Notamacropus eugenii: one gene and its partners. The protein of the gene in region 4 purifies or fractionates together with the protein of the main gene of each other region. This does not show direct contact. Links are inferred from orthologs where the notes say so. Each region holds a gene or a part of one and is shown on either strand. Other genes may lie near its edges.

Region 1 (7,990 bases), about 100 Mb from region 4:
CAGGAAACAAGACACACCAGTCCAGGAAAGATGGCTGGCAGCATCTGTGCAGATCCCACAGTGACGCTCATCAGAGTTATCTCATTACTGAGATTAGAAAATAACTTTTCACCACTTTTGCAAGAACCTTAAAATCAGGGATGTGCCTCCGAACAGAAATAGAGAATTATTTTAAGTGCAGTTCTTTTTCAAGTACATTTTCAAATTTTTAAAGTTATACAGGCTACTAAAAATGCTAATGTGGTCATAACTGGGGCTATCACTACCCCCTCTTTCAAAAAAAGAAGAAGCATGCTAAAAGCGGATACAAGTAAAATCCATATTGACATAAAAGATTTAGAATTAAGCAAACTCATAATGAGACCAAAAGAATGAATTTTTCCTGTACTTGGAAAGAGAATAAGAAAAAATGACAATGCACAGCTAACAAAGTATATTCAAAGCTTCTGAGACTTGGCTGAAGGGTTAATTTTATACAGGCAGGAAGAAGGCTCATGAATGTAAAAGCAAAGCTGACCATCAACAGGGTGCAAGGTGAGAGCAGATCTTTTACCTTCAGAAGAACATTGAAACCACACCAAATATTGGCAATGTTATCCTCAAAGAATACACAAACTTGCAGTTTCTTCCACTTCTGTAAAGTACTGTAACCACCAAAGAGCAAAGGAAATAACCACTGTAAAAATCAGTTTAATGAGCAGTAACAACCCCTTTCCTTTCAAATCTTTCTTCAAGCATTTGTCTAGCAAAAGAATGGCAAAGAATGGTAAAGTTCCATCTGCTTATGATTTATGGCTAAACAAAATGCCAATGATCCTAGGATGTCTTAGTCACAAGACAGACCAAGAACACAGTGCAAAGTTGAGATTCACAGAATCATACTGAAAATATCCATACTCAATCAGAAGAAGGCCTGGAAGTGCTCTTGAAAGAAATAGAAGGCCTGGAAAAGCTCTCACAAGTTTGGTTGAAGGTTGTTTTTTTTTTAATGAAAACAGTATAGTACAACTGAAGGTAAGTAAATCATTAAAATGACAATAAAAACTGTTGTACACATGTAATTAACTTCTGTTGATAACTCTCATAGCCCTATGATGTGTGTAGTGAGGAAAATTAATTTTAATTCTGTCATTTGATTATTAATATAAATTTGTAATAACGTCTCTTCTGTCAAAAGGCCATCTCTTCTACTAGTTTAAAGAGAAGCCCCTGAACAATTCTAGCTAAGGAAATGTATTAAGTGTTTTCTCAAGGTATCTGCTCATTAACTAGGTAGTTCTGGCCCCAGCCCAACTGGGACTCTAAGTTCTGTTTAGTAGAGGGGTCTCAAAACTCATGACCTAGTCTCATTCCTCAGCTGACCTCCCCCCTTGACCATGAAGCTCTTAGTCCATTTCCTCATCAAATGTCTACCAATCAGGGGTTTCTTTTCTCTAGGCAAGGGAGTTTCCAGTAATTTGCTCTCAGGAAGACAGACTGATGTGGTACTGTCCCTTGGCATCTTTGGTTACCTAACAGAAACCACTGACCATCAATTTATTGATTATTGACTAGCCTAGTTAATAAATTTATTGTTAATACTCATTTTACTTGCCACATTCTGCAAAATAGGCACATAAAAGACTGAATAAAAGATTCATAATGAAAAATGCTATCTACATCCAGAGAAAGAATTGTGGAATTTGAAAGCAGATCCAAGCATACTACTGTCTGACTTTTTTTTCTTTCTTGTGGTTTTTCCCTTTTGTAATGATTCTTCTTTCACAACATGACTAATGTGGAAATATGTTTACTACGAAAAAAAAAAGACTGTGGTAACCTGTAAGAGGTGGATAATATAGTCCCCAGTACTGTAATTTTTATCAGTCCTATTGAAGTACCATTGCTTGACTGGTAAATTAATTTTTTAAAAAAGTAATTTAAAGTAATTTCTCATCAGTGCCTTTGCTCTTTATAAATTCTAAACATAGGAAGTTTTCCAGACCTTGAGTAAGAATTCAGAGACTAGCCACCAGACATCTCATCCATTGAGGACCACAATGGTTATTAAGTGCCATTCTTCCATAATTTCTCTTTCCTCAGGCTACATACACAAAAAAAAGAATTTTTAGATCTTCTAAGATGTCTGCTTTCAAAGAGGCATACTTTATTCCCCTCAAAACTCTTCTTGATCACATAAAAATATCAATATTCAAGGTGTTATCAGTTCTCTGCAGTTGAGAATTTCAGCCAACTTCAAGGGATGCCAGGCTTCTAAGTATGAAATTAAAAAGTGGTTATCTGTTATATCAGTGCAAGAAGGATCCCATGGTGCTCAGTGTCCCTAGTGGTCATAGGCTTCCTGCCTAATGCCCAGAAAAATCATGTTAGTGACTGAATTCAAGATATACTGGAGTCAGGTACACTCATTAGAAGGTTATTGCAATACTCTAGGCATGAGGTAATGAGGGTCTGCAGTAGAATGGTGGCTGTATCAGAGGAGAGAATAGGGTATATTTGAAAGATATGGCAAAGGTGAAACCAATAGACCTTGGCAATCGATTGACTTTGGGGAATGGGAAATAGTGAGGAGTCCAAGATAATTCCCAGGTTGTGAGCCTGAGGGACTGGGAGGATAGTGTTGTACTCTTCAGTAATAGGAAAGGTAAATAGGAAAGAAGATTTAAGGGGAAAGATAATGAATTTGACTTGAGTTTAAAATGTCTCCACCAACGTTGGGGCATCAACTATTGTTAATCCTCCTCTCCATCCTCCCCCCTCCTCCCTTCTCCCGCCCTCTACCCCGGAAAAGCCCTTGCAACAATCATAGTCAGGAAAAATGAATTCACTGAGTAATGCATCCAAAAGTATATGTTTCTGCATTGTGTCCATTGATTTCTCTGTCAAGAAATGGGTAGGTCCTCTGGAGACATGATTGCTCATTGCTTGATCAGAGTTCTAAGTTGATTTTTTTTAAAAATGTTATTCTTGTATTAATTGTTCTCCTGGTTCTGCTCATATCACCCCATGTTATTTCATAGTATTCCAAATTCTCTGAAATCTTCCCTTTCTGGTATTACCCACAACAATATAATAAAATTAAATTCAAAATAGGAGCTTTGAAAAAATATTTTAAAATTAATTGGAAACTAAATCATGCAATCCTAAAGAATTGAGAGGTTAAAGAACAAATCATGGAGATAGAAAATTTCTTCAAAGAAAAAAAAACAACCCAACATATTAAAACTTGTGGGATTCAGATAAGACAACCCTTAGGGGAAAGGCTGTGTCACACAAAACAGTAAATTGGGAACACAACTAAAGAACAAACAAACAACTACAAAGGCAACATATCAGAACCTCTCAATTCCACATAAAAATAGAAATTCTTGAAATTAAAGATGATATTAATAAATAAAAAACAAAAAACAAGTATTGAACTCATTGAATTAATACATTTTGAAAAACCTAGACACTAGTCTGATTTTTTTAGAGTGGAAAACAAGATCATTTATATCAAAAATGAAAAAAGAAGAATTTATAACAAATGAAAAGGAAATAAAGGAAATGACCAGAAGTTATTTTGCCCAACTCCATTCCAACAAGACTGATAGTGTAAAAGGAATAGATGAATACTTACATTTTTATTAGTATTTATGTGGTTTTTGTAGAATTAGAGTATCTTTCTAGAGCTAAGAGAATATGTGCATGTATGTGTGTATATATACATATGCGTGTGTATACATAATACACACGCATATGTTTATATTAAAGTTTGGAAGTCTTCATATTCCATCAGAGAGGATCTTTACTATCATCCACTACTATTAAGCACAGTACTAGAAATGTTTGTATAATAATAAAATAAGAAGAAAGAAATTGAGGGACTAGATGAATAGAAATAAAAAATTAACCTAGCAATTTAAAATTAGATTAGAAGAGAAAATGGTAAATCTTACTGAAGAAAAAACATATTTCTGAAACTGAAACAGACCAAACAGAAATCAGTGGTTCCATGGGACACTAAGAAATATAAGAACAAAATTAAAAGATTGTAAAAAGAAGAAGAAGAAGAAGAAGAAGAAGAAGAAGAAGAAGAAGAAGAAGAAGAAGAAGAAGAAGAAGAAGAAGAAGAAGAAGAAGAGAATATAAGCTATCTTATAAAGCGGCAGGGATCAAAAACACTTAATATTGGTTAAAAACAGATTAGTTGATTAGACAAGGAAGAATCAGAAACAGTAGCACTCACTGATGTTTAACAAATCCAAAAAAATAAATTCTGTAGGAAAGAAGTCTCTATTTTATAAGACCTGCTGGGAAAACCAGAACTCAATCTGGTGGAAAGAAAGTAGGCTAAGAGCAACACCTTAGACCATCTTGCACAACAAATTCAAAATTGATACCCGAACTGAATATTAAAGGATATACAAAATTTTTTTGCTTTCTCAAAGAAGGTGGGAGAGAAGGAGGGAAAGAATCTGGAATTAAAAAACCGAATGTTAAAAATCGTTTTTACACATAATGGAAAAATATGAAATATTAAAGAAAATAAAAACAGCCCTCTTCAAGGGCTGCAGCTGTAACTCTGCAGCTACTGTAGCAAGACCCTGACGCTCCACTATTTGCCACCTCCCCTCCCCGCCCTGCCTAGCCAAGCCCCGCCTCTCCCTCCCTGTTCCTGGCGTTCCTTCCAGGGACCTATCAGCGCAGGCGCAGTAGCAAGGAAGCGGAAGTGCATCTCGCTGCTTCCCTTTGAAAGTACCACTCCAATCTGGTGACTCCGTGGATTCGTTCAGAAGGGCTGTGCTGGGCCGTGGGTCCCGCTCATCATGAGCTGGCTTTCTGAAAATGATGACCCGTATGTAGTTGAAGAGCCCAGTGACGAGGAACCAGCTTTGAGCAGGTAGGCCAGGCGCGGGGCCCGCTCTGGGTGGACAAGACGTCCCCGACTTCTTCAGTCGTCGGAGCTGGGCTTTCCAGCGTCTGTCTCTGTTCGCAGAGTGGCCCCGGGACAAAGCACAAAGGCAGATGCAGGCTTGATGTCAGGAAACTATGACGGTTCCAGCCGTTCAAGAAAGAAATGGGGCCTCGGGAGGGAGAGTGAGCTCCGTTGTTCTGGAAGTGTTCAGGCAGAGGCCAGGAGTATGCCGAGCCCATGGGATCTTGGGGGTGCTTCCTGAGGAACAGCCTTTGAAACCATCCACACAAGTGGGAGGGGCCTCCTGGGCTCAGAATTTAAGAAAAAGCCGGGGGATAGTTGGGAGCCAAGCTTGCTGCTCATGGTCTAATAAGAATGCAACAACGTTGTACAAACAAGCTATATGCAGCATAAATTGATGATAATCTTAGAAGGAAGGCTCTATTGTGAAGAAGGATTAGAAAAGTCTTATTTTTATGTTTTAATGTAAATAGCATTTTATTTTGTCCAATTTCCAATAGTTTTAAACATTCATTTTTAATGGGATTTTGAGTTCCAGTTTTTCCTCCTTCTTCTCCCCCCACCGCAAGATGACAAGCTATCCGATATAAATTATGCATTTTAAACGTATTCAATATGTCACGTTATGAAAGAAGAAACAGAGCAAAAGGAAAACACACACACACACACACACACACACACAAGTGAAAATAGTGTGCTTCAGTCTACATTCAGATTCCATCACTTCTTTCTCTGAATGTGGATAGCATTTTCCATCTTGAGTCTTTTGGAATTCTCTTGGATCACTGAATTGCTAAGAAGAGCCAAGTTTAACATAGTTTATGAGCACACAGTATTGCTGCTACTGTTCACAATGTTGTCCAAGTTCAGCTCATTTCACTTAGAATCAGTTCATGCTAAGGCTTTCCAGGTTTTATAAAAGTCTTCTTGCACAGGGTAGGATTTTAGCTGGGACTTGAAGAAAGCCAGGAGGCAGAGATGAAGAAAGAGAATACCGGCATAGGGGATAGCCAATGAAAATGCACAGAATTGGGAAATGGAGTACCTTGTGAGTGGAACATCAAGGAGGCTGGTGTTATTGAATAGTGAAATATGTGGTGGGGACTGGAAAGGTAAAAGGGGCCAGGTTATAAAGGACTTTGAGTGCTAAACAGAGGATTTTATATTTAAAGGTGATTGGGGTCCATTGGAGTTGATTGAAAGTGGGATGGGGGTGGGAGAAGGGATAGGGAATGGGTAGCATGGTAACATGGACAGGTTTGTGTTTTAGAAAAATATGTTTGTCAGCTGAGTCGAGGATGGAGTGTAGTGGGGAGAGACTTGTGACTTTTGCTCAGACATGACATGATTGGGGGGAATGAGTATTTATATAGCTTCTACTATGTGCCAGGCACTTTGGTAAGCACCTCACAAATATTGTCTCATTTGATCCCCACCAAAACCCTACAAGGTATGTGCTGTTGTTATCCTCGTTTTGCAGTTGAGAAAACTGAAGCAAACAGGTTAACTCACTTGCCCAGGCTCACACGCCTTAGTAAGTGTCTGAGTCTAGATTTGAAGTAAACTTACTGACTCCAGGCCAAGGGCCCTATCTGTTGTGCTACCTTGCACCCTCATGTGGCCTTTGATTACCAGGGTAACGGCGGTGTCAGTAAGCTGAGATGAAGGAAACTAGTTGACCCTAGTTGAATGAAACTTATAAATAACCTTTCAAGTCTCATAGCATCCAAAAATTCAATCAGACTTTTATGTAAGGGCAATATGGTTAAAAGATGGGAGACCGTAGATGAGAGAACGTGGAATGTTACACATTTTTCAGAACCAATGGATACAACTATTTTGATGAGCTACTTTCCCCATTTCTTTTAACAACTTTGTAAGACTAAAAGAACATTATATGTTTGTATGTGTATGGGTGTATAAACTAGCATTTATTTAGTGCTTTAAGGTTTGCAAAACATTTTTACATATTTTGTCTTGCTCAATCCTCACAACAGTCGTGGGGTATAGGTGCTATTATTATCCCTGTTTTACAGATGAGGAAACTGAGGCTGAGAGAAGTTAAGTGACTTATCCAGTATCACATAGCTAATTAAATGTATGAGGCAGAATTTGATCTCAGATCTTCCTGACTTTAAGTCCAGTACTCTTATCACTGTGCCATTTGGCTGGTATAAATATAAAAGATATTAAAAACAAGATATTTTTTTTTAAGAGACAGATTTGTAGAATAGAAATTATACCAGACTTAGAACCAGATGATCTGGGTTTAAAGGTACCAATTACATTACTAACATACACATTGTGTTCACCCTCACTTGTCCTTACCCCCATCTGGATCTAACGCACTACTCTGTAAAAGAGAGATGATGTTGGCTGTACTTTCTACCTTACTGGGTCCTTATGAGACTCAATTAACAAGCAATTAAGTGTTTACCATGTATGTTATGTTGGGTATTTGGTATACAAAGACAAAAATGAAACAGTCCCAGCCCCTCAAGGAGCTTTCATTGAGTAGCTTACATTGATAAAATTAAATATGTTCGTAGAAGTAACTTTGAAAACTGAATCCCTATATAAATAAATGTAAAAGAGAAATAAAAATAAACGTATCAGAAATTTCAAGTTTCACTTCTGTTGTCCCAGCACTCCCCACCAAAATTTAGAGACTCAAGATTCTATACTCTAGGAGACAGAAGCAAAGAACCTGGATAATCCATATACTGATTAAATATCCCCTAATAATTGATTTAATTATGGACAAAATTTTGTAGAAGAGAATTTTGACATTTAATTTCTTATAAGAAAATTCATCTCATTTGCCTTAACATCTCTTTTCAGTTTTACGGGGCTGCTTGGGGAAACCTCAACAAAGAGAACGAAGAGAAAAATAACTTGATTGAAAGTGCTAATCAAGATTGTACACAGAATTAAATTCTTTCAATTTCTACTTTCTCTTAGTTCTCCTCCTATTTTCCTTAGTCTTTATTGGATCCAGGTCATGTCCTTTGTAGGTGGGTGATTCCCCATCACTCAGTCCTGGGCCCTTTTCTCTTTTCCCTCTATATTGCT
Region 2 (6,975 bases), on a different chromosome or scaffold from region 4:
CCCTGAATAAGGCTGTGCTGGAGGACAACGCCAGTAATGCCAAGACTGTGGTGAAATCCTTCCACGAGACGGTGAGAGCTAGGAATGGGACAGGGCAGCAGGCTCTGCTTCCCCATGTGGATGGTGTGGGAGCGGTTGCCATGCTCCCTCTGAGGCCCCAGGCCTCGTGTCTGAATTCACTTCTGTCTTCTCTTACAGCTGGGCTGCTGCGGCTCTGATACGCTAACCTCCTTAATCACGGCTGCCGCCAGAAGCGAGCTGTGCCCTAGTGGAAGCAACGTTCTCACCATGCCCTTTAAGGTAAGGCCAGGCCGAGGGCAGATGGAGATGCTGGCTGCCTGTGTAGGGAGCCAGGTATGAGCCGGCCTGGTTGGGCCAGTGCTGGCCAAGGTCTGTGCTTGGGGATCTCAGGGTGGGCTGTGTGGAGCATTGACCATGCCTCCTCTCTGTCCTGCCTGTGGGTGTGGGGGTCTCCCCACAGCGCTGTCTCTAAATCTGACTTTCCCTCGTGTCCGTGCTTTCTGTCTGCCATGTGCTTGGCCCGATTCTCTTGGCCCACCTCTGAAGGATGAGCAGATGGTGGGCAGTGCCTGGAACTCTGGGAGGGGTGGGGATGGGCAGGTGATGTTCATGCTGGTCACGGGGGCTCTTCTCTGCAGGCAAACTGTCACCAGAAGATAGATGAGCTCTTCTCAGGAAAGCTGTATCTGATTGGCATCGCTGCCATCGTGGTAGCAGTCATCATGGTGAGCGGGAAGGGAGCCCAAAGGGTGGCTCACCCTGAGGCCCTGCTCCATGGGCAGGCCCTGCTCCAGAGGCTGGCAGGGCAGCACTTGTAGATAAGCTGGATGATTGTTCATTGATGGTGGAATCCCAAGTCGATGGCAGTCCCCAAGGGCCTTTGCTTTCTCTAATTGAATCCATGACATGGACAGGAACAGATGACACCAATCTGGGGGTGGGGGAGAGGAGAAGTGCTAGCAATGAGCTGGGCAGCCTAGGATGGATACAAAGTCTGGCATTAAGGACCAAAAAGCTATGGGGCAGTTAGGCAGCTGTTGTCCAGAAAGAGATCTGGGGGGTCTGAATGGGCCACAAGCTCCACAAACGCTAATTTGATCTGGGGCTGCCTTGAGAGCAGGACGAGGGAGGGAGGTGATTGTTCCCCTATGCTTGGCCCCAGTCAGATCTCACCCAGAGGACAGTGATCATTTCTGGGGGCCGCATTTGCTAAGCTGTAGGGAGTCTGGAGGAGGGGTGACCAGGGTAGGCCCTGTGTCGCATGAGGAGCAGTTAGCCTGGATAAGGAGAGATGGGGAGGACGTAGCCCCATCTTTAACGCGCTCCCCCTTTCCCTGCAGATTTTTGAGATGATTCTCAGCATGGTCCTGTGTTGCGGTATTCGGAATAGCTCCGTGTACTGAGGACCGCCCCTGGGGCTGTTCTGAGGTGTGGGCAGGCAGGAGAGGAGCCCCGCAACTGTCGTCGAGTGACCAGGAGACGTCTGAGAGAAATCCAGAGAATTATGTATAGAAATGTCTCAGATATTACCGTGCAGTACTTATTAGCATTTTTACTTTGGAGGGTTGGGGCATGGGGGTGGGGGAGGGGATGTTTTTATTTTTGAAATAAAGTTACCAGACTCATTTCTGTGCCTCTGGCTACACCTAGGTCTTGTGTAGCCAGGGCCTTGGAGGGGGTCTCCTGGGCTGAGGCCACGGCTCAGTGGGGCCCTCCCGGGCATGGAGGTAGGGCAGGGGAGGAGGCCCTGCTGGTCCTGCCTTCTGAGTGGGGAAGGAGAGAGCCTTGGGAGGCACCCTCCCTCCTGCAGCTGCAGCCTTTTTTTTTTTTTTAACCAATCTGCATTCTTTTCTCCTGCATCTACTTTTCTCGAGCATTTCTGACGTTCTCACACTTTCTGGCCTTGTATGTCTGACTTTGGCCCCTTAGACCATAACTTGGCTGTCCAAGACAGGCCCAAACCAGCTCACTTCAATAAAAAGGAAAGAACATCCAGACTGGTGTGGACCCTTCCCTGTGAGCCCTGCTTGGCAGGAGACCCCCTGGGGCTGGGCAGGGGGTTCCGGAGGGGGCCTTCAGTTCTGAGGAAAATTGACCTGTCCTGTGGAGGCTGAGAGAGGCCTGGGCCAGCTGGCTCTCCTGCCCTCCCCAGAGTGGCCTGGGCTGAGGGGAGCTGTCTCTCACCCTCCTGGCAGTCAACACTGCCAATGGCCACCTTGGCCTGTGGACATAGAAGACCATCTTTGGCCACAAGGCTCGGTCCACTTCACCAGCACCCGGCTCTCCTGCCTGGGACTTCCCCCATGGTCCTGGGCTGTTCAGAGGGGAGGCCCCCCCAGAGTGGGCAATGGGAAGTGGGTGATTGAACCTTAGAAAGCCTTAAAGGAACACTACCCAGAATGCCCTATGTTGGGGGGAGGGGGCAGAGCTCCTGGGGCCTGTCTCTTCCATAGTGCACTGGCCATGCACGTATGTGTGCTTACATAGATGTTGCATGTACTCGAGTATGTTCTGGGCCCAGGCTTCATGTCTTTCCAGGACTTGTTATTTGGCCTAGAGGCAGCAGTCAGGCCTTGGAGTTCCGTGTTTATGTTCTGTGGGCAGCTGGGCATCCTGTGGGGCATTCCCATAGAAGGGAGCCTGGCTGGGCCAGGAGGTGTCTCATGTGACGTGTGGAAGGAGAGGCCTTTGACACCTGGGTTTAACCACCATCTCCCTGTCTCCTGGGCATCTGCCCAGGTCTGGAGCCCAGGCTCTAGGATGGACCGCCGGCCTGCACAGAGCAGCATGGCAGGAGGTGGGCACCATCCCAACTGCCGTGAGGCTGGGGGGTGTCCTGGGCTACCTGCACGAAGAGGGAGATAAATCCCTCCAGCCTCCTGCCCCCAGGAGGAAGTGCCCCCCGGTTAGTTCAGTGCTGGCCCTGTACCCCAACCCTGGCCCCCAGAACCCTCCCCTGCCATCCCCAGGTGGCCCCAAAGACGGGGCTGGGAGGGCACTGACCGACAGAACCGCATGCCTCTCGTTGGCAGGAAGGAGCGCCTCTCACACCTCTCAGGCAGTCTCTGCTGCCTCTGCCCCAGCCTGGGAGCCCCACCCCCTCCCTGCTTCGCTCAGGGCCTCGGGGGGACAGCATGGCCTGAGGGTCCCCCCTTGTCCGTTTGCCTGTCTGCCCCACGCGGCCCCTTTTCAATCCATGTATCCAATAAAGCAAGTGCTCTGATCCGTGAATCTGCGGCTCTTTTTTGGGGGGCTCGGCCCGGCCGGCCTTCCTCTGACCGGCCCTGCGGCCACCTCCCACAGGACGCAGTGACCGCGGAGGGCTGAAGCCCCTTCCTGGGCTCCTGGAGTCCGGCCTCCCCGGGCAGCTCGGGGCGCCAGCGTCAGGAGGGCCGTCAAAGCTGACCCCAGACCTGTCCTAGCCGGGTGACCCTCCCGGCCTATGGCGAACCCCTCCAGCGTCTCTGCCAAGACAACCCCAGGCTCGGCCAGAAAGGGCCTTGGGGTCCAGGACCCCCATCTTACAGAGGTGGAAGCCGAGGCACGGAGGGCAGCTTTGCCAGCGGGGGCCACCCACGTACCCCTAAACACGAGCGCCCGGGGGCAAACTCCTCCAGACAGGGCCCCCAGAGGCGGGAGGGGGCCCTCGGGCACTAGAGCGAGGCCCGAAAGGGGTTGGGAAGGCTTTGAATGCCAGGGCCAGCTTGGGCAGGGAGCCCCAGGCCGGGCCGCCTGGAGCTGGAGAGGGGGCCCAGGATGGGAGCCAGGGTGGTCTGTGGGCCGCTCCCGGGGTCTAGGGCTGGCACGCAGTAGGTACTGGACGATGGAAGTACTAGAGCGGAAACCGGTCCCGGGGCCCCTCTTTCAGCACCCCGGGAAAGGACGCCTCTTCCCGCCCATCCCCCCAGGCTCCTCCAGGCTACGCAGGCCCCCACCCGGCGGCGGCGTCTGGGCAGGAAAGACGAGGCAACAATGTAGCGAGGAGCGGCCCTCCAGCCAATGGGGAGAGGGGAGCCTCGGCAAGTCCCGCCTCCTCCCCCCGCTCTCCCAGCCCCGCCCGGCCAGACAGGGGAGGGGGAGGGGGCCGAGCTGCGCGCGTTCCCGAGATGCCTACTGTGTGACGGGGTTGGCACGAAAGGCAGCAAATTGAATAAACAAGGACTCAGCCACCGGGGGCAAGGGCTCCTGTAGGGGGATGGGGCCTCGAATGCCCCATGAGCAAGGCGGGACATGGGTCCCCACCCTTCCTCGCTCCTCCGCGCAGCCCTGGGGCGGGGGTGGGGGCTGCCCCCTCCCAAGCCTGGCTGCGTCGCAGGGTGTGTGCTCTCGCCGGCTCCCCTCCCGACGCTCAGACGACGGGTGACGTCACTCGCAAAGGCGAAACATCCGGGTGGGCTCCCAGACTCCCCCCAGTCCCCACCCTCCCCCCAGACCTCAGTTTCCTCATTTGAAAACAAGAGCATCAGGAGTCACTCAGCCCCGCACTAGGTGGGGTGGCTTCTCCAGGGAGGAGGGAGGAAGGGAAGTGGGGAGGGCGGAACCTCCCTCCCCCCCGCCATATATATGCCTTCCGGGGCCCCGCACCACTAGGGCGTGCGGCGCTGGGAGGCTCCGGCAGGCGACGCTGTTACACGCCTCCACCCAGGCAGCGTCGCCACGCCCCTCACCGCCCTGCCCCGCGAGGCATTGTGAGCGTCCTCCGCTCATCCCACCCCCTCCCCCTTCAACCCACGCCGAAAAGCAGTTATCCGAAAAACCGCGCGAGGACAGGCCTTCCGGGAGGCCACGGCGCAGGCGCGAGATCCCGGCCTCATTCTCAGAAGGTCACGTGCAGAGGTTTTCTTCGGCGCGCTCGGTCCCCTGACTGTGACGTCATCGCGTTGCATTGTGGGGGTTGTCGTTTTCTTTTGGCCTAGCCTCCTGCCACGATGGAGTGCGGGGACTCGGCTTCCCAGAAAGCCGTGCGGGCGGGAGGCGGGGCCGTCTCATCTTCGAGGCCCAAGATGGTGACTACCGTTCCGGGGAGCTTCGCTCTACCCGAGGCAGGTCTCGGGGTTTGGGCCCAGGTCGGCGCAGCCCCGCCTCGGCGTCCCCCTCTGTGAGAGGTGGGGCTGGGAGCAGTGACCCCGAGTCCCAGTTTCTGCCCCTCCCCCATGACTGACCCTGCTTGGGGCTTCCGTTCCCAGCCTCAGTTTCCCCGTCTGCGCAGACTCTGACCCCCCGGCCTCCCCGGCCCCCGCACTACGGCCTGGGGACATTGAGGCCAGGCGCCAGCCCCCGTGGAGCCGGGCCATGGCGGACAGAGGCGGGGGCGATGCCTGGCCAGGGCCACCCGACTGCGAAGTCACCTCGGACACGGGCTCGCTCAGCGACTCGGACTCGGACTGGGACGGGCAGGAGGCCGGGCTGTCCCCGGGGGAGCCGCCGTGCCTGGAGGAGGCAGCGGCCTCGGAGGACGACGAGCCCCCCGCCGAGCCCCCGCAGGCCCCCGAGGGCCCCGTGCGCCCCTTCCACCTGCGGGGCATGAGCCCCACCTTCTCGCTGCGCAGCCGCAGCATATTTGAGGGCCTGGAGGGGGCGGCTCGGGCCCCCGCCCCCGGGACCCCCGCGGAGGCCGACCCCGACCCTTTCAAGCGGCCCCTGCCCCGCCCCGGGCCTGCCAGGCCCGGCCCCAGCCCGGTCCCCGACTACGTGACCCATCCTGAGCGCTGGACCAAGTACAGCCTGGAGGACGTCCCCGAGGGCAGCGACCGCAGCAACCGCGCCGTGGCCCTCGAGCTCCTGGGGGACCTGAAGAGGAGGGCAGGCGGCCAGAGCTCCGCGCCCCCAGAAAGCTGCGCCCCCTCCTTCAACCAGGACCCCTCGAGCCGCGGGGCCGGCAGGATCGTGTTCACCAAGCCGGCCAAGGCCGGCGAGCGCAAGCGGCCGCAGTGGAGGGAGCCCGGGGAGGAGCTGGTGGCGCTGGGCCACCTGGGCTCGGGCGGGGGCCCCGACGGCGAGGGCGACGGCGAGGAGCCCCCGAGGACGCCGGCGGAGCCCCAGGAGGCCGACATGCGGGAGGACGGGGCGGGCCCCGCCGGGGCCGTGGGCTTCCACGGCAGCAAGAAGAGGAGCAGGGAGCACCTGCGGCTGAAGGGGCCGGCGGAGGAGGAGAGCGAGGAGCCCTGAGCGCGGCCCTGCAGCCTACCCAGCGCCCTTGGTGCCCCGGAGCTCGCCACCCCGCATGGAAGACCTGCCCGGGGCAGCTTGGCCGGCCGCCCCATCCCCCCACGCCCTCCGGTGTGGTTGGGGAAGGCGTCATGGGGTGGTAACCAGCGGAAGGGAGCGTGCCCTCCTGCTGGCACTGGTGGCCCTGACCACACCAGGCGCCCAACCCCGCTGACTTGGTTTGACCTTGTGAAGACAATAAAGGGTTTCCCTGAAGTCTGAGCCTCCCGGGTGTCTCCCTGCCTGCCCACCTGGCCGCTGGGCCCACCCACTTTACCCTGAGGTACAGACCTCTGCCACTTTCCTTACGTCTGGGCTCCCTAGTTTGTCCTGGGTTGATGGCACAGGGATAGAAGGTACCCTTAGCACTGGCATTGGGGTTCACCCAGGACTCGGAGCATCCCTCTCTATTCCCAAAATAAGGAGATCCCTGCCCTCCACGAGTGTGGCCCCAGGCAGGTGTTTCCCCGAAGGGGACTTTGGGCCTGTCTTGGACCCAGATGCTGGGCAGCTACCTGCGATGGAGCGAAAGAGGGACTGGTTGTGGGATAGGCCATGGTGCTTTTGATTGGCCACCCGCCACCCTCCACCCTCCTGTCTCTCCCCCAACACACACTTTGCACTTTCAGGGTCCTTGAAACCCAGAGAGAAGGTCTGCTCTCTGAGTAAATCCCTGACTCATGGGGCCAGGGTTTCCTGCCACTTGGTCAGTGAATATTAGCCCATCCCTGTTGTGCTCCCAGCTCC
Region 3 (8,146 bases), about 61 Mb from region 4:
CTAAGGTCTTATCAGATTCTCACTTTGAGTGAGATACACCCATTCAACGAATAGACCTCTCTAAGTAGTTACTCAAGGGTGGCCCATTTTAATAAAAATTTAAAAAAAAACCAATCTGGGAGAAGACTTTCAAGGTTCCTGGGGAAAAGAGAAACAGTTACTATTTAGTATTTACATTCCCTCTGTGCCAGGTGGGCGGGGACCTGTTGTCCAATCTATGAGTTAATGAATTAGGTTTAAGATTTGGTCTTTGAGCAAGAAAGGGTAGGAGACAGAGAAAGGAAAATAATTCTGAAGCCTTCTAGAAGCTGCAAACATTTCTCTTGGTTCAGCTAGGAAAGAGGATTTAGAACCCACAATAAAAACCTTATCTGCTCATACTGTAAAAAAAATAAAAACTTACATGTCAGCATCTTCATCCCTTCGGTTGGTTTCTGCTGAAAATGATGTTCCTAAGTTGAGGTCCTCCTCTTCATTAATCCTAAATGGAGACAGAGTTATGGTATCTTTAATATTTCCTTGGAAAACAATGTACTAAATTCATTAAAAAAAAACAACACATAAAATAGTTATTCTTTCACAGCTTCTGTTTTCCCCAGTCTCTCTGAGGATGCAAGTGAGTTTTCCTACTACTGTGGACAATCAAAATTGAGTGTAGTAACAGGGAGAGAAAATGTTCTCAATGGTTTCTAAAAATGTTTTCTACCAACCTGTCCTTGTTTCTCTCCTTAAGTTTCTTCATGTCCACCATTCCACCAGTCTTGATCTTAAATGGATCATCCTACCAAATAAGAAAGATAATGATGATAATGAAAAAGCAAATATGGTTTATAAATTAGGTGGGGGAAAAAGATAATTTGTCATTCATGTTTTTATCACCCAGAGTTCAATTATCAAACAGTTATTAAGCACTTACTATGTATTAGGAACAGTATTGGGTGCTAGACCCTAACACTCAGGATCCTGAATAGGTGAGGTATCAATAAATGCTGGCTGATGTAGGATAGATAACCTTTCTGAAGGACAACCTATTTCAGTTCTGCTCATCATACAACTGTGCTTTACTGAACTATATCACACTATTTTACTGAACTAAATCACTTTTAACTTGGTAACCTTTCAGGGTCATCCTTCCTAGCCAAATATTACAGCATTCACCAGAGATGTCCACAAAACTCACCACTAGAGTTGTCTCTTCTTGTACTTTCTCTCCAACCAGGAGGGCTACGGCACTGAATAGAAAAAATGGTGGGTACAACTCAAAGATAGGAAAAGGTAAAGCAATCAGTTCAGAAATTCATTATTCAGGCTGACAAGTAAAACTCATATGAATAATGGGGGCCAAAAAGGCATGTCATGAAAGATCACATCTTTAAAAAAAACCCAACCAGACTAAAACGGATGCCAACTCTCAACTTTACAGATATGTTCTTCGTTCTTAGAGCTAGCTAGATTTAGAACTAGATTTAGTCCAGAACTCTATCTCTCTCTCCACCTCCCCCCACCTCAGGTCAAAAATGTAGGGAGAGCCAGCACTTGAACCCAGGTCTTGTGATTCCAAATCCAGTCCTCTGTGTACTGCTTCCATTCTGCATGATCTTTCCAAATATCACTGACAGTGCCTCAAGACTTCTGCCAGTTCCTTCAGTTCCCAAGGATATAAACTATGCGGTCATGGTGACTTGAATTCATCAAAGGTAACTCTTTAAATTTTTTCTATCCTGTTATTTTAAGTGCAAAGGTCATTCTCCTTAGCAGAGAAAAATGAAGCAAAATAAACACTAAACATCTCTATTTTTTACTCTGCATACTCCTCATTTTGAACTATTGACAAGCATCTGGAAAAAGCAAGGGAAGTCAGGTAGGCGATGGAATGCCCTGGTATACAGTTTAACATAGAATATGGGCTATTTCAAGTAGTTATGCATTTGTCACAGTATTACACAAAGGGGATCCAGGACATACTTTTTTCTTCTCTTCTGACTGTGGTCCCCAATCCAAGGTGGCTAAACCTACCTCACCCCATTAGGCCGTCTCCTCAAGCTCTGAACTTCTTTGGTTTCCTCAAGCTTCAACCTGAATATAACACAGAGAAATAATTAAGCAGTCCAAACATCAAAATAAAACGGGGTCTGGTTATTGAGAGTTCCATCCACTGGCGCTGAGGCTCTGTCCCCAAAAGGGACACTGTATTTCCAACTACTGGACAGGTTCAGAAAGTCTGACAGATTTCCTCATCTGCTGGGGGACAACAGTCCCTGAGTGTAGCAGTTTTTGACCATCCAATGCGTGTACATGTGTTCATAGGAGAGGATTGGGGGAGTTTAAAAAAGGTCAAGAATTAATTTTTTTTTTAGAGTGACAAATTAGGTTTCAGCATATCTCCTACCTATTCTCTTTCATTCTCCCCATTCCCCTCCCTTCTTTCCTAGATTTAATACAGTCCTGTTTTCTCTCGGAAGAGAGAAGTTTTGTAAATCTTCTGTCTAGTATGAGGCAGAGCATAACACACATATAAGTCAACGCAGGTAAGAAGAAGAAGGTTTCTACTGCCCAGCTCACAGGGTAGTTACGGGAATCACAAGACATTATGTGTTACATAAACGTCAGATGTGACACAAGTAACACTCTGAAGGAACGAATGAATTGTCATTGGAAGAGAACACACGAAATATACATTCAACAGTTGCCAGTTAAGACAACAGCATTCCAACAAAGGCAAAACCAGTGCCTGTCCTCCGAGAGCTCCCATTCTGCTACGGGGGCAGGAGGGCAGCATCTTGGTCGCGGGGAACCCCCGCAGCTCTCGCATCGTTTTGGGGGTGCTCGCTCCCCCCGGGGGGCGGAGAAGATAAAAGCCGGGCAGTACGAGATCAATCCCGCAGGCTCGGGGTTAGGGTCAAGGCCGGCTGCCCTCCCGTTCGGACCTCGTCCTCCCACACCAGGGGCTCGGCCGATCCCGGAGGGATGTCATTGGGTCGGGGCTTCTCCGCACAGCAGTCCAGCCGCCCCCTGCCCCGCTCCCCACTCACCGGACCTCCTCACTGTCTTGCTCGTCTGACTCCGACTCCGAGTCGACGCGGCGCTTGCGGAAGGCCTTGCCGGCCCGCATGGTGCCCCGAGCCCGGGTTTCCACCAGGGACTGCCGCGGGGTGCCCCCGATGGGGCGCCTTGGCCCCGGAGCTGCGCAGCTGCTCAGGGCTGCTTCCGGCGCAGGCCAGTGCGGTCAGCGCTGCGTGCGGCCGCGGCGGCGGCGGGCCCGCCTCCGGCTCCAAGGGCCCGCGCGGGGCGCTGCCCATAGGGCCGCGTGCTCGGAGCCCGCCCCGCCCCGGCCGGCCCCGCCCCTCCCCCGTGCCGCCGCCGCCGCCCGAGCCGCGGGGATGGGGAGCGGGCAGCCGTGCCGGCGGCCACTCGGGAGCCCAGCCCGCCGAGGTGAGTGTGGGCGCGCGGGGCGAGGGCCGGCCGTTATCCTTCCGAGCCGCGGGGGCGGGGAGGGAGGCGGCGATCTTCTGCGGGGGACGCTCCCCCCGCCTCCCTCCCCTTAATTCCTCTCCCCTCTCATGGCACTCCCCTTTCCTCCTCTCTCATTGCACTCTCCTCTCTTCCCCCTCCCCCGCTTTCTTTTTCCTCCCTTCCCCTTTCATCCTCCTCTCCTCTCCCCTCCCAAAGCCCAAAGCTTGAGCGGTGGTCGAAGTTGTGCCAGCATTCCAGCTCAGCCCCTCGAAGGTGCCTTCCAGCGAGACAGGAGTTCGGCAGGTACACCAGGTGTACCAGTGTCTCTTCTGAATTTCACTAATTATCTAATTCAGACTGTAGAAAGTTGGCCTTTTAAAAAATGAATGAGTTAGCCTAAAATAATACTTTTAAAAGTAGATTGTATTTGGGGACTTAAGAAACATTGTCACAGCCCTAAGGTGAATTTTTTAAAGGAAAACGTTTACAACTTTCCCTCCTCTTGTTATTTTTTGAAAACTAAACACCACTAACGGCCGCATCAGGCCCCAGGCCTCTGTCATCCCTAGCCAGTCCAGAAGGGAGCCTCCTATATTTTTAGTTGACATTACTGTGGTAGCCTAATGATCACTGGATTCTGGAGGGAGAAGATTCTGTACTTGATTTTAATATTTACTTGCAAGTGACATTAGCTAAGTTCCTTATTGATTCTATAATTTGCTTTGTTGTAGGTAAATGAAAGAGAATAAAACTTCCTCTCTTACACAGGTTCTGTGACGATTAAGTTCACCTTTTAAAAATGTGTTTCCAGAAGTCTAAGGCTTTATGTTAGTATATAGTAATTGTTTCCTTTTTTTTAACCATAGGAGAGGTCATTTCTTTTAGTAGTTCAGATCTTCCACTAGCAAGTTATCCCAATTTTAATGGAGTCACAGTCCTCATTTACCCTCCCTAGATATGCTTTTCAGTTGCTTATAATGTATACACCAATGCTGATTGGTTTTTTGTCATACCTTTGAACTGCCAGTGTTGGCTGGTGTCTGGGAAATGGATTGGTTTTTTCCTTTGGAAGGGTAAAGCTTGACCTGCCCTGGGCGTATTACAGTATATCATACCAAGCCTGAAAGGTAGATGGCACCAGGTAGTTCCACGTAGGTGTCTTTAAATACAACTGTATTTGTAGGCATCAAGGACTGGAAATCTTGTCTCACAACCATTGTTTTGGTCATTGCTTAGCTAAGTACCCCTCCAAAGATTCTGAACTTATACTCTGGCTGTGACCTAGGCCCCTGTGCACTAACTATACCCTTCTAGGAAGAATTGAGTGGATAACCTGCATCATAAGCTATGACTGAATGAAAGATTGGCACCTTTGGTTTAGTTAGCACAAATTAGAAGACCTGGGTTTGAATTCTGACTGCCACTTTTTTGCTTTGTGATCTTAAATCACTTAAAGCTGATGTTTCTGTTTCCTCATCTGTAAAATGGGACTGATAACTGTATTTATTACCTACCTCACAGGGATTTTGTGAGAATTGAATAAGGCCATGGCTGTAGACAATGGATATAAAAGCATTTTATAAACCACCAAGTGTTACTTTAATTTCAACTTTTGTTACTATGAATTTAGATTTAATAAATGTTTTTTAGATTGAGTGGTGAGAATATTTTGATCTTTTTGTTTTGTTTTAGGAGGAATGTTTAGTTCTGGTTTGAACTGGTTTGCTAGCTATTTGCTTAAAAAAAAACCTTTAGTTTAGGTTTGAGATCAGTAAAATTAATATTTGTGTTAGGCAATTAGTATTTGTGGTTCAGCAAATTGGTACCATTTGTTCTAATTCCTAGTTTGATTGGTGGTGCAGTGGAAAGATCACCAGATCTGGGTTCTGCCACTAACTTTCAGTGTGACTGTGGGCATGCCACTGTCCTACTCTAGCCCTCAGTTTTCCCAAGATGAACAGGTTAGACTAGATTATGTATCATCATCAGCTTTCCAGCTCTAAAAAACCACACATCTAAGTCCCCGTTTAAAAGTCACTTAATTCACACTTCTCTATAGAAGAGGTATCTGACACCACACACAGGCAGCATGTGTGCAGCCCCCAACATTCCCCAAAACATTGGAACAAGATGAAAATGTAATTGGAAAATATTTAATAAGACAATGAGATGTGGTTTCCTAAGTCAGTATATGGCCTCCAACGATCCTGATATTTGGTTTAATGATCTGGTTTCTGTTTGAGTTTGACACCACTGCTCTAGTATATGTATGATAATTAAGCTAGCATTGATATAGCTCTTTAAAGTTTGCAAAGTACTTTACATATATTTTACTTTATCCTCACAACAGCCTTGGGAAGTAGCTGCCATTATTATCCCCATTTTATAAATGAGGAAACTTGAGGCAGATAGGTTAAGTGACTTGCCCTGGGTCAAACAGCCAGAAAATGGCCAAAATAGAACTCCAGTCCTCCTGATTTCAGTCTAGAGCTTTATCCCCTGCACCACTTAGTTGTCTAGGAATGCCTCCTGTGTGTGTTGTTTTTTAACCAGGCCTTGTTGATTTCTCCTACCCCTATCCAGTCCTCCACAATGTATGAAAACCCTGTCTTATCAAATCACTGTTTCTTGTGCAGGACAGTAATGTCAGGTGCTATAAGGTTTTATAAGTACTAGTTATGGTCCCTACTCTCAAGAAGCTTACATTTAGTTGAGGAGTCTAGATCATTACAAGTGAAATCATTCAATTAACTAGTATTTATTGAGTGCCAACTGTGTGCTAATCATAATCACTGAAGATGGAACAAGGACTGATCTGTACCTCCAATGACCTTACATGTTAGGGATCTAAGGGGTAGAAATAACAGCTACAATATTAACAGACGTTTGTTTATTATACTGCTTTACGAAGCACTTTCATTACAATAACTCATAACTAATGCAAATTAAAACATCCCCTGCCTTTCTTAGATTGTTGTTTGTCTCTTTTTGTTCCAGGCATCTTTGACAGTGCCTTGAAGCAATAGATATTTGATAAGTGTTTGCTGAATGGTGTGTAAAAATATAAATATTCATGTTGAGTGTAACAGTAAAAATATTTAAATACTAGTTCAAAACAACACAGGATGCCATAAGGTCGTAACTGATTGTGCAGCCAATTATATAGCCAATAAATGCCACTGGGAGCCAGCCATCACTGAGAACTGGGCTGGGCTGTCCTTGAAGGAGGCTTGGAGGAGATGGGGCTAGAGCCAGGTCTGGAAGCTTAGGCAAGAAAGGAGTCTTGCTTGCTTTTTCTCTTGTGGTCCTGTGCGACTACCCCAGCTCCCCCTGGATTTCTAAGGCTTATGTGCCCCGTCAACACCTCCACCCTCTCCCCGCAAAAAAGGCTATATATACCGCCTAATAGAATGCAAGTTCCTTAAGGACACAGACTGTGTCTTTTGGGGTAGAGGGGCAGTCTTTGTCTCCCACACGACTCGGAGGTAATGGGTGCAAGTTTCCTCCTACAGAACACTGAGTTATTGACAGCTGACACTGGTTTGCTCTCAAGGAGATGGCAGTCCATAGGAGAAAGGACAGGACAGATGTTTGGTGATAAAGGCGATGGTGCTTTTTCTTTTTTAAAAAAAGGTTTTACTGATTCTCTTTCAAAAAACAAAAGTCACTGTCACTTTACAGTGATCCCACCCACCCACCGCACAGTCTTCTCTAACAAGTAAAACCTGCGTGCAAAACACATCTTTCCGCCCCCCACCCCCCACCCCGCTCCCCCCACGTTGGCCGGGTCTAAAGAATTCTTGGTACGGCTCCTGTAGGCCCCCATCTCCGCAGGCAGGCTGAGCACGGTCCCCTTCCCAGGAGGCTATAACCGGGGCACTGGGGGAGAGGGCCTCCCCAGTGAGCCCCAGGAGACCCCGCCTCCTGGGCTCCGAGCTGGGACGCCTGCGGGCCCCGCCTCCACCTGGGCCTAGGAGCGGCTTGGCTTCCCCAGCCCACGCCCCGGGCTCGTTCGCTCGTGGCCTCTCTCTCCGGGTGGGAGGCCCTTCCCCGGCGCCCCCTGCCCCTGCTCGGTGCGCGGACCAGCCCGGCGCGGCCCCCTCCTGCCCCAGCCCTCCTCTCTACCTGTCCCCCCGCCCCCTTCCCTCCCTCTCTGCCCGCGAGTCCGCTCCCCCACCCCGGGCGTAGTCCCGGACCCCCGGCCTCGGCAGGAAGGCGGGAGGAGACCCCAGGCCCTGGGGTGCCGAAGCCGCAGCCCGAGCCCGAGAGAGGAGAGGCGGAGACCGAGGAGGGCGAGGACCCGAGGAGGGGGCCGGTGAGCGGTCAGGGGCCCGGTTCTGCCGTTGGGGAGCCTGGGGGCCTGGCCCCGGAGTTTAGCCCACCCGAGCTTAAGGAATTGACTGGAGATGGGCGGGGGAAGGTTCGAGGGAGAGGGGGAATGAAAGGATGGGGGAGGGAGAACCAGACCCACCAACTAAGAGGGGAGAGTTGGGTAGAGGGCGAAGGTTAAGAGAGGGAAAGTGGGAGGACTCGGGGAGAGTTAAAGGGGGATGGGACAGGGCTAAGAGAGAAAAGGGAGAACGGGGGAGGGTGGCGAAGGTGAGGCCAGCTTAGAGAGGTCCGGGAGTGAGACTAGGGGAGGAGCAGGAGAGGGTTCAAGGAAAGGGGGCTTGTGGATAGATCGAGGCCGGTC
Region 4 (7,669 bases):
AGATTGAGAAAAGGACATCAGATTTTGCAATTAAAGGTCATTGAGATAATTGGTAACTGTAGAGAAAAATGTTTCTATTGAATTATTAGAATGGTTAAATGACTGGAGTTCAGATTAGTATTAGAGATTAGAATGCTGTTGAATGGCTAGAGGTTAGAAGTCGGATTACAGAAGGTTTCAAATAGAGTAAGAAGACGGGAGGTGCAGCGTAGGTAGCTTTCTCAAGGAGTTTAATTTGAGATGACAAGATAAAGGACTATCACTAGTGGGGATGGTAGAATAAGGTAAAAGTTTTCAAGGATGGAGACTTGGACATGTTTGTAAGTAGCAGTGAAGGAGCCAATAGATATGGAGAGATTCAGTATAAGGGAAAAAGTAAGGGTAAAAGTAGAAGCAATCTGCTAGAGAAGATGGCAGAAGACAGTATCAAGACTGCATATGGAAGGTTGCCTTTGAAGGAGGGCCACCTCTTTATTGTACACTAGAATGAAGAGATAAGCAGGGAAGATATCTGATTGAAATGAGATGAAGAGGAAGGGAAAAGGGGGAGTGCTGGAGTAGCTTCATTTTACTCAATGAAATATGAAGGGAACTCTTCATCTGAGATAGTGGGGGTTAGGGTGTCATGGGAGACTTAAGGAAAAATGAGAATGTTTGGAATAGCTATTGTGGAGAGTGGGGCAGCAAATCAATTAGGAATAGAATGTCTTGCTGTAGTGAGGGCCCATTTGAGATTATGTAACCTAAATTTGTAGCATAGTTAGCAATTTTGTGATTTCCTCTAGCTCTGTGCAACAGCATGTGGATAGGAGCAAAGGAGGCAGATAGTGGCAGTAGTCCAGGGTTTGGGCTTGGCAAGTCATGATTGTCAGTAGGACAAGGAGTCAAGGGAATTGAGGGTAGAGGACGGTATTGCTGTTCATGTTTTGTTTTCACAGAGGACAAATGACATCATAGTGTGATGTCTTGACTCTTGAATGAACTGGATTTAAGTGAGGAAAAGTTGCACAATTTTGTCAGCTTCACCCTCTCTTCAAGAGTCATCAAAGTCCAGTAGCAGGACAAAAGTCAAGACAGTTGACAATGGCCTGGGATGTAGTGGATGACCTTGGTGTCTTTGATGTCTGACCAAGTTTTAAGGCCCCCACAGCCCCTGTTTTAGTTGCCTTCAAGGTTTTTGTAACAAATTGTTCTCATCTACCCATTCTGCCATGCTTGGTGTAGACACCTCCCCAACTCACCGAGTTACCCTCAACCTGGTTTAGCCTGTCTGCCACACTGGCGTGTGGCCACTATTCATGCTATAGCTTTTTGGAGCCACAGGTGAGAACTGGGTGAAAGGTATGCACCAAAGGTGGATGAGCAGCCCTGAAAAGATCTCAGCAAGTCCTTCCTGATCTTCTTAAAAAGCAAGGTGTAAGTAAAGGAGACTGGAGGATAGTATGGAGTTAAATTGGTTCATTAAGAGTTCAAGATAGGAAAGGGAGAAAAGTATAGCCAGTGTAGGTATGATGACCTGGGAAAGAACTGAGGGATAGAGAGAATGGAGGTCATAATGAAGATGAAGATAAGATTAAGGGTTATAAAAAGTGGGGAAGGTGAAAGGAAAATAGATTGTGAAATAAAGGATTTTCAGAGCTTATGAACATGGAAGTGTTATGGGTAATGGGTTATGGGCAAGGTCAAAGGTGTGACTATCTCTTTGTGTAGTTGAGAAACTAGAAAGCTAGAGTATCTGAGAAGGTATCAACACATATATTGAAGTTCCCTGATATGAGGATAGGAGTTAGGGAAGAGAGAAGGACTTCGAGCCCTGTTTTTGATGTAGATGCTTGTTCCCTAATATAGTGTTCCTGATTCTTTGCTGAGCTGGAATCTTGTCCTGAGATTTGTTTTCTCTGCAATGCTGCTCTCTGCTGGTCTTTAGCTCCTGTACAACTTCTTTCCCAGTGGCAGGGAACCTCTTTTGTGATTTCAGATGCACTTGGGCATTTAAATTGGTCTTTTGAACTTAACTCCACAGCTATACTTCAGACTTTCAGTGTAAATTCTAATTTGTGTTATGATCAGAAAAGTAATTTTCATTCTTATCTTACCCATGAGAGCCTGCAGATCACCCCAGGAGTTCCATTTAGCAAGACTGCAAAGGACTTCAGTGGAGCTATGGTGAGATTACTCTCTGTGGTCCACACAATAATTCAATAGCAAGACTAGAGAAAAGCTGTTGAATGGAGATAGCAACCGTCCCCTCCTTTTGTTGTCCCATTCCCCACTCCCATCTGTTATGGAGGAATAAAGGAACTGAATAATTGCCTCTGGGCAATGATGTATTGGCAATGCATGTGGTTGCAAAACAAACCGGGTCCAAGACTCACGGTAACTAAGAACCCAGAAGCTTTGTTTCTCACAGTTAATATATAATTTAGAAGGAGTAGAAAAAACTGGAAAAACACAGGATTATAGGGATTGAGACATCTGGTTTCTCCTTGGTGGAATTTGGGATGGGGGAGAGGATCGGAAGACACTGAGATGAGAGGAAGAGGGGTATTCTTGTGACATTCTTTAAGTCAGGCGTGAAACCTAAATCAGGTGACTTACGTGGATTTGAAATATTAACTTCATAAAATGGTACATAAAAGCAAAATAGAGTCACTAATACTAATTATCTTAATCATTTGCTGTATTCCTTTTGGGGATTAGAGGACAGGCAGTGGAGAGGCATATGATCAGCATGAGTAAGCTATGACACACTAATAATAATTGTTGACATTTATAGAATGCATGGTGGTTTGCAAAATGTTTTGCGCGCGCACGCGCGTGCGTGCGTGTGTAATTTACAACTAACCAAGCAAGAAAAGCAGAAAAAAAGGATGCCATCAGATATACTGTGGTCTACTGAAAAGGAAGGTGGGCAGGTCATACTGAAAGAGGGAGGCATAACCAATAGATAGTCCTCTTGCTGACATACATGTAAGGTTGAGAGAACTAGAGAAACACCCTTCCCCCACCTACCTCGAAGAGTTGTTGTGAGAATTAAACGAGGTATTTGTAAAATGCTTGCCACCGTGCCTGGCACATAGCAGGTACTTTAGAAATGCTTATTTCATTCCATTCCATTCCATTCCACCATCCGAGTACACTGAATGGTCCAATGGAGATCCTGTAGATGATTTATGGAAGGATGTGGTCAATAATCACAGAGAATGATAGGGTGTTTATGGGTGGTGATTTGTATCCTTGGAAGTTCCTACATGAATGAGATCATCCAAGTGTGGAAGATGGTAGAAATATTCTCTCCATGGGACAGGATGAGTACCAATTAGGTTAAATCAGCCCAAGGTTCCAGTTAAGAGTGTTACAGGGCACCTCTTCCAGATAGGGACTCTCAGGTGGAAGTCCCTCAGGTGTCTGGATTGGGGAAAGAGAAGATCCAGGTCCATGGCAGCAAGGAGGGTTCTCCTGGAAGAGAGACTAACCTTGTTCTTCTTGGCCCTAAAAAAAGCAAAACTAGGAACAGTTGGTGGGAATTAGAAAGGTAGATTGTAGATCCACCTCAAGAAAAATCTTCTTAAAAATCTAAATTTTCTAAAAGTGGATTGAGATGCCTTGTGAGGGAGTGGATTCCCTGTCACTAAGGTCTTCGAGTGAAAGAAAGAGGGCCACCGATGGTCGACCCTGTAGAAGGGATGGCTGCGCAGATCCTGGTGGCAGGTGATGCCTTCCAGCTGTGAACATCTGTGAGTGTGAGGCTTGGTGACTGGCTGCCTGGGTGGGGCAGGACCTGGAGCAAACCCATAGATAGACAGACAGACAGACAGACAGACAGACAGACAGACAGATAGATAGATAGATAGATAGATATGTAATTTACGTAAAAAATTGAGTTTTGAATTCTCTCAGTCTTCAGCCTCCCCATGAGAAGACAAGAAATGTGATGAACCAATTAAACATGTGAGGTCAGGCAAAACATTTCCGTATTAGCCATATCGCGAAGAAAACGAGAGAAAAAGGCAAGAAAGATGACGAAAGGGAAAACATTATGTTTCAGGCTGCACTCGGACACCATCCGTTCCTTCCCTCTGGAGGTGGGCAGCATTTTTCATCTAAGTCCTTCGGAATTGTTTCGGATCCTTGTATTGATCAGAAGAGTTGTCGGTCGATAAACACGTAGTAAGCGCTTACTACGTTCCAGGCACTGTGCTAGGTGCTCCTCTAGGACTCCGAGGTCTAGAGCGTCAGGCACTCTATGGGGACACCAGGGGTGGCAGGCGGAACCCAAGGATGTAGGAACCCCTCTCTCACCGCCCCCGGGTGGGAAGGGAGCATTTTCCCCTTGCACCCGCGTCCCCATCCCGGGAGGAAGCGGCCGCACTTCCGGCGCACGGCGGGAGCGGCCGCTAAGGGGAAGCTGTCAGCCGGGCCTGGGAAACGATCCCTCGGGGCGCCTCGGCCGCCGGCCCTCAGTCCTCCGGGGCCCCAGCGTCCCGAGCTCGGGTCAGGAGGGCCTCGAAGGGCGGCTGGGCGTCCCCGATGGATCCGGAGCTGGCCCGGAGCCTCTTCTTCGAGGGCGCCACGGTGGTGGCCCTGGGCGTGCCCGAGGGCACCGAGTTCGGCATCGACTGCAGCTCGTGGCAGGTGGGCCCGCGCTTCCGCGGCGTCAAGATGATCCCCCCGGGCGTCCACCTGGTGCACTACAGCGCGGCGGGCCGCAGCCCCTCGGGGACCCGCGAGACAGGCCCGCGCACGGGCTTCTTCGTGAGCCTGCGGCCGCGGGCGCTGCGCCTGCTCCGCTGGGACGCGGCCCGCGAGGAGCTGGACCTGAGCCCGGCGCCCGAGGCTCAGCTGGAGGCCGTGCGGGCCAGCCTGCAGGAGCTGGATCGCTTCCTGGGGCCCTACCCGCACGACCTGCTGAGGAAGTGGGTGTCCCTGAGCAGCTGCCTGAGCGAGGAGGCTGTGCGGCGGCTGCAGCCCGAGAGCGGGCAGATCTGCGCCTTCTCCGAGGTGCTGCCCGTGCAGCCCCTGACCTACACCAAGGACCGCGCCGAGCGCGGCCCGCCGGCCTGCGGCGCCGAGTGCCGGAGCTACCGCGAGGGCCTGGCCCGCCTGCCGCAGATGAAGCAGAGGGCCGGCACCGAGATCCGCTTCACCCCGCTGCCCAAGCAGACCTACCCCGACGGCGCCAGCCCGGCCGAGATCACCAAGCACAGCATGGACCTGAGCTACGCCCTCGAGACTGTGATCAGCAGGCAGTACTCCGCCAACCCCCAGGATGTCCTGGGTAGGTATGACTGCTTCCCTTTTGTCCCGAAGGTAAGAGAGGTGGCCGAAAGTCCAGGCGGGGTCGTGAGAAAAGCTCGAAATTTGGAGTCACTGGACTCAAGAGCCCAGGCTTTAGCACTCACTGGTCTTGGACCAGTCTTCACCATCCTGCCGTTTTAGTCAAATGAAGCCTAAGTTTTATGAGTTTTATGTATTATGAGTATTATAAGTTTTATTAGAGCTCCTGGAGCTCTAATAAAACTTATACGAAGTGGCCTTGATAGATCCTAACACTTTGGTAGCTCCTCTTAAGGAATTGTAGATTGTCGGATCTAGCACAGAGTCCAACTTCTCCTTTATGTTGCACATGACTTGATGCCCAGGGAGAAGAAAGTACTTGCCTAAGACAGTCTCCTGTCTCCTACTGTAGAGCATATCCAGCAATTCTATTCAGCTTTCCTCTTCAACATTTAACAAATTGTTAAGTATATGTACAGAACACAGTAGGAAATAAAAAGATAAGTAAGACCCAACCTCATCTCTCAAGGAGCTCAATACAATACTACAGTTAAGAGTATACAGATAAATATAATACAAATGGAATACGGAGTACAAAGAACTATGAGATCAAGTTTCTAAGTGAAACAGTTGTAATATGTGACCTATAAGGTCCCTTAGAACTCTACATGCCATGCCACTAGCCAAAGAACTTAGATAAAGGTTCCCAGAGGAACTAGAATTTGAGCTGGACCTAGAATGACCATAGGATGTCCAGAGGTGGAGATGAAATGAGGGACATTCCTCTTGAACTATTGAATCCTTTTACAATTTTATTCCCTTAATTTACTTTAGAGTCCTGTCACAGGATGTGCAGAGCTCTCTTGGGTGCTAGTCTGGTTGCATAGTCAGTGAACCAAGAATTAGTTCTCTGAGGTTTATAGAATTTATTCATGTGGAATGTTGCACTTGTAAAGTTGATTAGTGTACAGCAGGATTTTTTGGCTACACAAAGCCTTACAAAGCACTTTTCAAGGTGTAATAAATTTTTACAGTCCTCCTGTGAAGCTGAGATAGCACTGCCAGTCACCCACAGAACACTCAAGTTTAGTTGCTAAGCATTACGATTTAACAGTGTTTGTTTATTACAAAGGTAGCTGGTGGAGTTGCAGCATTTAACACATCTGCTCACCCTGATGGCTCATCGTCATTTCCCCCATTGGCCTCCTGTTGCTCTCTTTGAGGAATAGTTTATTCCATTGCTCTATATCCCCTAGCACATCCTGTAGTTCTCATTCCCCTGTGATTTTTCCTGCAGTTCCTGAAATGCTTCCCCATGTCTCCAACATCTGTCCAGTCCCTGGGTAATTACAGCGTATAAAGCACTGGATTATGGGTCAGGATGCTTGAGCACTGGGGTTAGTTCTGCCACCTGCTCACTATGTGATCTCAAGCAAGTCTACTCTGAGCATTGGTGTCCCCATCTGTGAATAAGGGTGTAAAATTAGTTATTTCTAATATACCATTTGACTCAAAAAATTCTGAGTCCTGTGAGTCATAAATCAGATACATGCATTGCCCCTAAGAATTGTGAGAACTTAGAAATTAAGTTAAGATAATTTCCCTTTAGAGCCCTGCACTTCAGGCTCCATTTCTCAGAACTGTTAAGTTGGCATTGAAGTTGCTCTTGTTTCATTCCCCTCCCTTACCCCACAACTCTACAGTATTTTTTTCTCCCCCAGTTGCTTCTTTTGAAGAAAGAGAATTTATGAAGGTCCTTCCAAATCTATAGCAAGGATGAGTGGGAATTAAAAGGTATAATATCCCTAGGCACATGCAAACAGACTAGCAGGTCTGGGAGATATAAGAAGGAACTGGAAATAGTCAAATCAGGGTTTTTTTAATGGGGTACCAGGACAAACTTGCTCAGTTACTGCACACAGGTAATAAGCATTTGTTAAGGGCTAATATAGGGTGTCAGACACTGTGCTATGAGCTGGGATACAAATTCAAACACCTGCCTTCAAGGAGCTTACATTCTATGGGGGGAAGATAGCACATAAAAAGAGATGTGAAAATGGAGTGGAGGGACATGAGGGATGGTGGCAGTCCAGAGAGTCTGAAGCACAGTTTGATCAGCCTGGACCCTTCCCCAAAATGGAGACCCTGGAAGGAGCTCAGCAGTGGGAGAAGGGGGTGAGCATGAGAAAAGGGATGTTGCTTCTGGAAGGTTTCCTGCCCCTTATTGGGAGAGAAACATGGTTAGTAGCTGTTTGAAGCATTTTGTGTAGAGACCAATACTGTTGCTATGGGTATACTTAAAATACTTAAATAAATAAAAATACGTGTATAAATTTTTCTTTTGGAGTCAGAGCTGAAACTAGGAAGTAAGTAAGTAAACATGCAAGGTAGA

The links.
Region 1: the proteins of AAR2 (region 4) and EAPP purify together in Homo sapiens (affinity purification with mass spectrometry; 4 studies listed by BioGRID and IntAct, counting the BioPlex papers as one, with this or other methods). This does not show direct contact. The link is inferred for Notamacropus eugenii from reciprocal best matches to the Homo sapiens genes AAR2 and EAPP.
Region 2: the proteins of AAR2 (region 4) and TSSC4 purify together in Homo sapiens (affinity purification with mass spectrometry; 3 studies listed by BioGRID and IntAct, counting the BioPlex papers as one, with this or other methods). This does not show direct contact. The link is inferred for Notamacropus eugenii from reciprocal best matches to the Homo sapiens genes AAR2 and TSSC4.
Region 3: the proteins of AAR2 (region 4) and C1H9orf78 purify together in Homo sapiens (affinity purification with mass spectrometry; 3 studies listed by BioGRID and IntAct, with this or other methods). This does not show direct contact. The link is inferred for Notamacropus eugenii from reciprocal best matches to the Homo sapiens genes AAR2 and C9orf78.

The regions. Positions count from the first base shown.
Region 1 is NC_092872.1:319,044,935-319,052,924, reverse strand, and holds the start of EAPP (E2F-associated phosphoprotein), read left to right. Parts: upstream 1-4,628; 5' UTR 4,629-4,808; coding exon 4,809-4,882; intron 4,883-7,990. UniProt on the Homo sapiens protein: May play an important role in the fine-tuning of both major E2F1 activities, the regulation of the cell-cycle and the induction of apoptosis. Promotes S-phase entry, and inhibits p14(ARP) expression.
Region 2 is NC_092873.1:25,467,664-25,474,638, reverse strand, and holds TSSC4 (U5 small nuclear ribonucleoprotein TSSC4), read left to right. Parts: upstream 1-4,676; 5' UTR 4,677-5,313; coding exon 5,314-6,189; 3' UTR 6,190-6,444; downstream 6,445-6,975. Other genes in the region: CD81 antigen, read left to right, coding at 1-71, 199-300, 660-746, 1,362-1,424. UniProt on the Homo sapiens protein: Protein associated with the U5 snRNP, during its maturation and its post-splicing recycling and which is required for spliceosomal tri-snRNP complex assembly in the nucleus.
Region 3 is NC_092872.1:481,405,658-481,413,803, forward strand, and holds the start of C1H9orf78 (splicing factor C9orf78 homolog), read right to left. Parts: upstream 3,321-8,146; 5' UTR 3,113-3,320; coding exon 3,033-3,112; intron 2,077-3,032; coding exon 2,017-2,076; intron 1,233-2,016; coding exon 1,181-1,232; intron 782-1,180; coding exon 711-781; intron 482-710; coding exon 404-481; intron 1-403. UniProt on the Homo sapiens protein: Plays a role in pre-mRNA splicing by promoting usage of the upstream 3'-splice site at alternative NAGNAG splice sites; these are sites featuring alternative acceptor motifs separated by only a few nucleotides. May also modulate exon inclusion events.
Region 4 is NC_092872.1:420,101,302-420,108,970, forward strand, and holds the start of AAR2 (protein AAR2 homolog), read left to right. Parts: upstream 1-4,376; 5' UTR 4,377-4,530; coding exon 4,531-5,278; intron 5,279-7,669. UniProt on the Homo sapiens protein: Component of the U5 snRNP complex that is required for spliceosome assembly and for pre-mRNA splicing.